Linked DNA regions of Coturnix japonica. The main gene of each other region encodes a partner of the protein of the gene in region 2 in a complex. Links are inferred from orthologs where the notes say so. Each region holds a gene or a part of one and is shown on either strand. Other genes may lie near its edges. The genes, in order: LAMTOR2 and FLCN.

Evidence for each region.
Region 1: FLCN (region 2) and LAMTOR2 share a complex: the UniProt entries of both Homo sapiens proteins name them as parts of the lysosomal folliculin complex. The link is inferred for Coturnix japonica from reciprocal best matches to the Homo sapiens genes FLCN and LAMTOR2.

Annotation. Positions count from the first base shown.
Region 1 is NC_029540.1:79,438-83,013, reverse strand, and holds LAMTOR2 (ragulator complex protein LAMTOR2), read right to left. Parts: upstream 2,174-3,576; 5' UTR 2,050-2,173; coding exon 1,982-2,049; intron 1,868-1,981; coding exon 1,705-1,867; intron 1,313-1,704; coding exon 1,223-1,312; intron 985-1,222; coding exon 928-984; 3' UTR 786-927; downstream 1-785. Other genes in the region: RAB25 (ras-related protein Rab-25), read right to left, coding at 211-250; UBQLN4 (ubiquilin-4), read left to right, coding at 2,278-2,421. UniProt on the Homo sapiens protein: As part of the Ragulator complex it is involved in amino acid sensing and activation of mTORC1, a signaling complex promoting cell growth in response to growth factors, energy levels, and amino acids.
Region 2 is NC_029529.1:4,765,605-4,769,970, forward strand, and holds the start of FLCN (folliculin), read right to left. Parts: upstream 2,838-4,366; 5' UTR 2,572-2,837; intron 1,904-2,571; 5' UTR 1,873-1,903; coding exon 1,624-1,872; intron 862-1,623; coding exon 715-861; intron 215-714; coding exon 1-214. UniProt on the Homo sapiens protein: Multi-functional protein, involved in both the cellular response to amino acid availability and in the regulation of glycolysis.

The DNA.
Region 1 (3,576 bases), on a different chromosome or scaffold from region 2:
GGCATTGCAGCACTGGGATGTCCCCAGTGCCATGGGGACATTACAGAAAAGCCTTACAGAAAAGGAAGAAAAAGGAGGAGGACCCTCTGCAGTGTTGGCTGCAGGCACAGCCCCAGCCCTGTCCTGCTTTGGGAACCCACAGCCTGGGGAGGGCACTGTGCAGCCAGGGCCCCCCCGTCGTCCCATCCCGTCCTTCTGGGCCCCCCTCACCTTTAAAAACAAAGTTGTAGTCGTCCTCAGTGCTGCTCATATCTCCCGGCTGCCGCCCGGTTTCCTCCTTCCCTCCGCAGAGCTCAGAGCGGGGCGGGCTGCAGGGGGTGGTGAGGGGGGCAAAGTCTCCTCTGTGTCGGGGTGTGAGGGGGGTCCCAGCAGTGAGGGGGGTCCCAGGAGGGAGCGCGGTCGGGGAGTGAAGGCGACGCGGGCGGCGCAGGGAGGCCCAGGGCGGCTGAGTGCAGGCTGGGAGCGGCAGCGCAGGTTGGGCAGGTAATGTCACCCCTGGAACCGTCACGGGGCACCTGGAGGAGGAGCCGGGCCCGGTCCTGGCTGCCAAGGCCACGCGGCGCGGGGCAGCCTGGGGCACTGGGGCCCTGGGCTCAGCATGGAGCTGGCCGGGCACCAACGGCCGCCTGCACCTCTGCTGCCAGCACAGAGAGATGGGAACGTGGGGGAAGCAGCCCCAGCAGGGACAGCACAACGCTCCCAGCTGCACCACAGACCCCTGGCTGGGTGCACGGCTGACCCCGTCCCACCCTTCCACCCTGCACTGATCTGACAGACACTCAGGACACGAGCACCACACGTGGCTTTATTTCCCCTCCCCTGCTGCCCAGCAGCACAGCCGGGCTCACAACACGGTTCCCCCCGTGCAGGCGCTGCTCTCAGCCGTGGCAGCGCGGTTCCATGCTCAGGATGCAGCTCAGATGCAGCTCAGGATGCGGCCACCTGCGTCAGCGGCTCCTCCAGGTATTGCACCAGCGCCTGTGCCTGGGGCAGGGATGGTGGTGAGGGGTGCAGCCCCCAGCGCCCACATTCTGTGGGCAAACCCCCGTCCCACCCCAGCACCAATCTGGGACCCACGCAGACAGTTCCCATTTTGATTGCAATTCCTCCCCCATCTCTCCCATCCTCTTCCTCCCGGCTTTAACCCCGTGGCTCTTTCACACCTCACCGTAATGCAGCCCCCCACCCCCTCACCCCCATCCCCTCACCCCCATCCCCTCACCTTGGCTTTCAGCATCCCAAATCCCACCGTCTCCTTGGCGTACATGCACAGCAGGAGGTTCGCCACGCGGGTGATGGCCACGCGCCCCTCCTGCCGGAGAGAACCGGGGTCACACGGAGATTCAGGGGGTCACAGCGGGATTTATGGGGTCACAGTGGGATTTATGGGGTCACAGTGGGATTTATGGGGTCACATTGAGATTTATGGGGTCACATTGGGATTTATGGGGTCACACTGAGATTTATGGGGTCACACTGAGATTTATGGGGTCACACTGAGATTTATGGGGTCACATTGGGATTTATGGGGTCACACTGAGATTTATGGGGTCACATTGAGATTTATGGGGTTCACACGGACCCCTTGGGCTCCCACACAGAAGCTGCTGCTGAACACCTCGGATCCCACTGTGGGTGCTGCTGTGGGTCCCGCACACCGGGGGTCCCGCATGGATCCCGTGGGGTCCCGCAGCCGTTCCGTACCATGCAGTCCATGAGGATGAAGCGCAGGTTGTCCTCGTTGAACGCGTGGTGCCCGTTCTTGTCGTAGGCCACCCAGATGTTGCTGGCGATGGCCGCGGTCACGCGGGCGTCCGTGTCTCCGTATCCCGAGTAGGCCAAGAGCGAGCCCTCATTGTTCAGCAGCCTGCAACGGAGCGGGGAACGGTCAGCTCCGGGCCGAGCCCCGCCGTGACGGTACGGTCACATCACACCGCAATGACCGTACGGTCGCACCGCCCCCGGCCCCGTCCCCGCTCACAACGTGCTCTGGACGCCGCCGGTGTTGGCCTGGCTCAGCACCTGCGTCAGCGCTTTGGGCCGCAGCATGGCAGGCAGCGCGGGGCGCGGGGCCCGTTCCCGGTGTAGGCCGCCCCCGTTCGGTGTTTGCTGCCGTTCGGTTCCGTTCGGGGCGGTTCCGCGCTCCGTTCCGGTTCCGGTTCCGTCGCCTCTCGATCCTCCCCGCCGCCAGGGGGCGCTGTGCTGCGGCGCGGGCCGTGGCGGCGCTCTGTCCCGGCCTTTCTCTGTCGGCCAGGGCTGGCGGGGCGGGCGGCGAAGATGGCGGAGCCGAGTGGCGGCGGCGGGCCGGGCCCCGGCGGGTCGGAGCTGGGAGGTCCCGGCGGGGCGCTCATCCGCGTCACGGTGAAGACCCCCAAGGACAAGGAGGAGATCGTCATCGCCGACGGCGCCTCCGTGCGCGAGGTGGGGACGGGACGGAGGACGGGGCCTAGGCCTGAGCGCTGCGAGGGGCCGCGGGAGACACGGGCCGCGAGACCGAGGAGGGTGCGGAGCGGGAAGGTGGCGGGAGGGGTTGGGCGAGAATTGGAGGGAGGAACCTCGGGGGTGTGAGGAGCCGGGGGGGGGAAGGTTGTGAGGGGCGGGAGCGGAGCTGGGCTGAGCGGAGCTGGGGCCTCCCCGGCCATGGGGGGCGTGGGGCCGGGGTTGGGCTGCAGCGGAGTGACGGCGTGTGTTGTGCGGGAGCCGAGGGGCTGGAACCCGCCGGGGGGCGAGAACGGGGCGTTGTCGGGGCGGTGCGGGAGGGGGGGGCGGGATGTGCCGGTGGGAACGGGAAGGGGGGGCCGGGAGGGGTCTGCGGGCTGGGGGGGGTGTGAGGGGCACGGCCCGGGGGTTGTGCTGCTGGTAGTGGGGGTGTTGTGGGACAGCGGGGAGGCGCTGCGTGGGGCGGCTGGGCCTGGAGGGATCAGGGATCTTCTCCCTTAGGGCCCGGAGATGCCTCAGGTCAGGGCACATGGGGGCGCGGCTCCGGGGCTGGCAGGAGCTGCTGGAAGAGCAGCGGGAGCTGCAGCTTGGGGAGCTGAGAGGCAGCGGGTGGGTGCTGTGATGGGACGCGGCCCTGGGGCTGGGCTGCGGGGAGCTGTGGGGCAGTGGATGTGTGCGGTGGGGCTGAGGCCAGAGGCTGCTCTGTCCGTCCTTCTCAGACCTTTCATTTCTGCCTTTGGGGCAGAGGGAGAGTGAAGCAGAGGGAAGGGGACGTCAGACATGTGGGTTTGCTGTGAGCAGGGAGCTCCACAGGGGCACTGTGTGTTTGCAGGGCAGCAGAGGGTTCACAAGAAGCGTTGTGCAGGTGGCAGTGCCCGCCGGGGCAGAGTGGTGTCAGTGCTGTGGATCTTGGCTGTGTGTGTGTTTTGCTGTGTACTTTGATGTGGGCTTCAGGGCACGAGGTTGCAGCGTGTGCTGGGAGCTGGGCAGGAGCTGTGTGCTGTGCGTGGCCCTGCTGCTTCCCAGCCCTGTGCTGTCAGCGTGCAGAGCAGCGGGTGAAGCTTCACGCCCTGGGTCACTTCAGTGCCAGGGGTCCGTCCTCCCAGGCCCAGTTTTTCGGGAGTTCTGGACCATGGC
Region 2 (4,366 bases):
CTTTGCCCTGAAGTTCATCGATGATGCCTCTGATTTTTCCCAGCAAGAAAGGCCATGAGTTGATGAGGTAAATCCGGTCCATCATGATAGTGATGATGCTGTACCAGCGCTGGAAGCCTCGGGCCAGGCTGTCTTTGATAAAGAAGGTGTGGCTGAACACAAAACCATGCTGTTCATCTCCAAAAAATATAGGCCCTTCACGTCCTGGGCAGACCTGAATGGGGGGGACATACAGACCAAAGAAGCTCAGCTGGAAGAGCAATGAACTGTATAACAAAAGCTTGCTGCTATTTAACAGACATCTGATGAATAAAACAATTTTTTTTAAGGCTGCTATCTAAAACCTGTGGTCAAACAAACATAATAAAGCCTTCAATTTATCTTTATTTTACAGATTTTGCTCAGTTCAGCTACAACACTGTGGAGAAATCACAAGGAATTCCTGATGCTGGCACACAAACACTAGTCTGTAAAGCTCTCCATTTATATGAGACACTGAACGTCAGCAGTTTATAAAGACCAATTATTTCTCAATACAAAGCAATAGATGCCAACATTTTTACACAAATAATTTATCAGTTTATATTAAAAACACAAACAATAAATGCACAGGAGTGAAAATAAGAGAACTTTCACATCTCAGAAGTCAAGAGGAAAAGCATCCCCAAGGTAAGGCCCTAAGCAGGATTTCTTCCTGTACTCCTAAAGAGTTACCTCACAACTCAGACTGCGAACGCAGGCCTGGCGCACAATGCTGAACAGCTGGGGGTGGTTTGGGTGCTGGTGACTGACATACTTGATCGAAGTCTCCTTGTCGTGGCTGACAAACCCAGGATGTCCTCCTGCAAGAGAGCGGCAACCCTGAAGACAGAAAAGCAAATCCAAGCATAAACGAACATGCAGATTTCAAAGGTTTCCAGCTGCCTTTGCGTTTTCCCTTCTAAACGTAGGGTAGCATTATTTACACATATAAACTCAAGTATTCAGAATGCAAGCAGTTTGAGTCAGGGTGAGCACTTAAACTCAGATCCTTTCTATGCCAGTTTTCCACTGCTGAATTTGATTGTGCATTTGATGGTGATGGCTCTGCAAGCAGTACAAGTCAGTTCATAGCACCTGTGAAAGCAACTGGCCAACAAAAGCACTGGCCATAACCTAAAGGCAAGTAAATAACAAGTAGCTCAGATCAAGTGCTAATAGTAGCCACACAAAGGAAAAACTAAAAACACAGTTTTTTCTCTAGTTTTAGGAGCTTTAAGGTTGGTTTTGGTTTTTTTTTTCCTGTTCCCTATTTGATGTTGCTGCTAAATATTGCTATTAATCAATGGTAGAACCTGGTCTAATGAAGCAGAAACCTTTGGAGGCCAAGGGAAGCGTCTCTCAGACACATGAAAATCACACGCAGGGCTTAAAAAGACCTTAACAGAGAAACTTGCTTTGTCAGTTTGCTTAATAACATTTCCTTCAACTTCTGTTGTGGGTCACTGCAGTTTATAAGGACTTTTTTAGTACTGTCAGTTATATGAAAGCACAGGGGTAGTTCATGTGTTCATCAGATAACCCAAGAGCCCTTTAGTCAAGCAAAGAAACACTGATGTTCTGTGTACAGCTATTCACACTTACCTCACACATGTCTGACTTCTTTGGCCCTGGGCTGCTGGAATCAGCGCTGGCACCTTCAGCTGGGCTGTGCGAGCGGATCCTGCTGCTCATCTGGATGCCGCCTTCCTCCTCTTCCGCCTGCTCATTCTGCCCAGTGATATCCCCGCTGCTGGCACCTTGAGGAAGCGGTGAATGTAGAACCTCAGTGCAAAAGAGGGTGCGGGGACCGTGGAGCTCACAAAAATGGCAGAGAGCAACAATAGCATTCATAGCGAGAGCTCAGCACATCCGTCAGGGTCTCCTGCAGGTGAGTGAAAAAACACATAGCATCAATATACAAACTGGCACAAGAACTGCTGTTAGAATTGCTGTTACAACACCCCATGGGCCTGTCAGGTGTGAATGCTGATCTGTGTCTTTCCAAGAGCTGCTCAGTTGGGGTGTCCAGCACAGTTCCACCCTGGGCTGTGCTCATACCTTCACAGGACAGGCCCAGAGCAGCACAATCACTCAGCACCTGGGCACCTCAGACCGTGTCAGGATGGGGCTGTGCCGGCCCAGTGCTGTGTCAGCCATCCTTAAGGATCTCCATGCAAGCGTTTCTCAGCCAAACCGATGGCACAGCACAGAGAAGGGCCCTCAGAGGCCACCAGCCCCACCCGTGCCGTGTGCTGCCTGCCCAGGGCCCAACTACGGCCTGGGACAGCTCCATGGCGGGCACACGGCGGCTCCTCACCGCCCTCAGTACGAAGCATTTCCCCTCGTATCTAATCTAACCGTCCCCTTTCAGCCCGAAGCCGTTTCCCCCCGTTCTAACGCTGCATCCTACAGGCCCGGCCCGGCGCTGTGTGTCCACCCCCGGTCCCCACGCAGCCACACGGTCGGTCCCGGTCCCGGTCCCGCTCAGTGCCCGCTCCCCCACTGCCCGGCCCACCCCCCGCTCCCCCAGCCCCGTTCCCGTCCTCTCACCGCTCCGGGCTCCCGCCCCGGCCCGTCCCGTGGCTGCGGGCAGCTGACACACGCTGACCGCCGGGCCGTACCATCCTACCGGGCCGCGGGGGGGGGGTGCTGGGGATGCGGGCAGGCAGCTCCCCGCTGATCAGCCGCCCAAGGAGCGGCGAGGAGCGGGATGAGGCTGCAGAGGGATCGGGACGGGGATGCAGCTGGTGGCCGGACAGCAGGGGGCTGCCCGCCTCCACACACAGCTCCCGGCGCACTCCTCCCCCCCCGCGGCAGCGGCAATGACCGCGACCCGCAGCCGCCCAGTCACGGGACTGGGAGCAACCACTGCTGGGAGCGCGGGGGGGTGAGACGAGACGGGGCGATTAAAGGCAGCCAGCAGCGCTGCTAATTAATACAGCACCGCTAATTAATACAGCACCACCACTTGCAGCAAAGGCCTGATTCAATTTCCATGTAACCTCAGAGCCAGTGCTGGGCAAGGACAGCAGCACAATAAGAACAAAAGCACCCCCCAATAAAGAACAACACCTAGAGATGAAGGCAAACACCAAAGCTCTACCATCTCGTTCCTTCAGGCCAAGCATTTAAAGACAAACTAAGAGCGGGCTGGTTTGTGACCTTTATTTTCCAATAGTACATTGAAACAACTGCTCAGGACGAACCTCGTCGGCTGCTGTGGCCATGCAGAAACATCTCCTACGTTACACAACACAACACACACGGTGGGGCGCAGTTGTACTGCCCAGAAGTGCCTCCAAGTACAAGTGTTGCCTACAAGGCAACCTGGGTTATGCAGAAGCACTTGGTGCGATGGCAGCACTATGGATGTTCACAAGGGGCAGTACGCACGGCTCCCATGTGGCACAGACATACAAGGGGGGCTGCTACACGGATTCCAGCCTTTTTTTCTTTAAAAACAACCAAAAAAACCTCTGCATCGTTATATTACCAGCTAAGAGTGAAGTAGAGACCCCTCCTGTGGCTAAGAGCTGTAGTTGCAAGACAAGGGCTCCCTCCAGAGCTGCACTTTCTCTTTGCAAATGATGGCGCATTGAACTATGATATCAAAGCATGATAGCAGATATCAAAGCATGATAGCAGATATCAAAGCATGATAGCAGATATCAAAGCATGCTCAGAGCAGCAGAGCACACAGTGTTGTTACGTTTGGATCTACAGTCCTTCCTTGCAATAAATACAAATTAAAAGCAGAAAGCTCAAGTGTTCTCAATGCGTCTCAGCTCACCGCAGCCCCATGCAGTTAGTTCCAAGACTTGAAGGAGCTTCTTCATTTAAAAGCTCTGACTTGGTTTCATCAGTATCTCAGGACATGCAGATGCCAGACCTGAAGCATTTAGTCAAACCATTGCTCAAAAGCCTTTTCCCAAAGCACTTTTGGTGAATACTTCAGACTTTGGGACCTGACTTCAGATTTTCCACCAGCAAGTAACAAAGTGCCTCCTTAAAAAGCAGATCAAGAACAATAGTGCGATATATTGTTTGAAAATACTACACAGATCTGTCTGCCAGCCCTCCTGATGTGCAGTATAGGTTTATTTTATCTATGTCAGGAAAAGAAACAAAGCAAACACAGCTTCTATTTGCCAGGTACGTCTATTAATTTGCTTGTAATTCCACAGACATAAGGGCATTCAGCCCTCAGCAGAACGTTCGTGCTTACTAATAGGAACCAGCAATACAAAAAGCTCAGCTACTGCAGAGAGAACATTTCTGGTTCTTCTCAGGCTTCACAAATGCACTGTGCATACATTCCCCTTTGGCAATGAGGTGAACCATCACC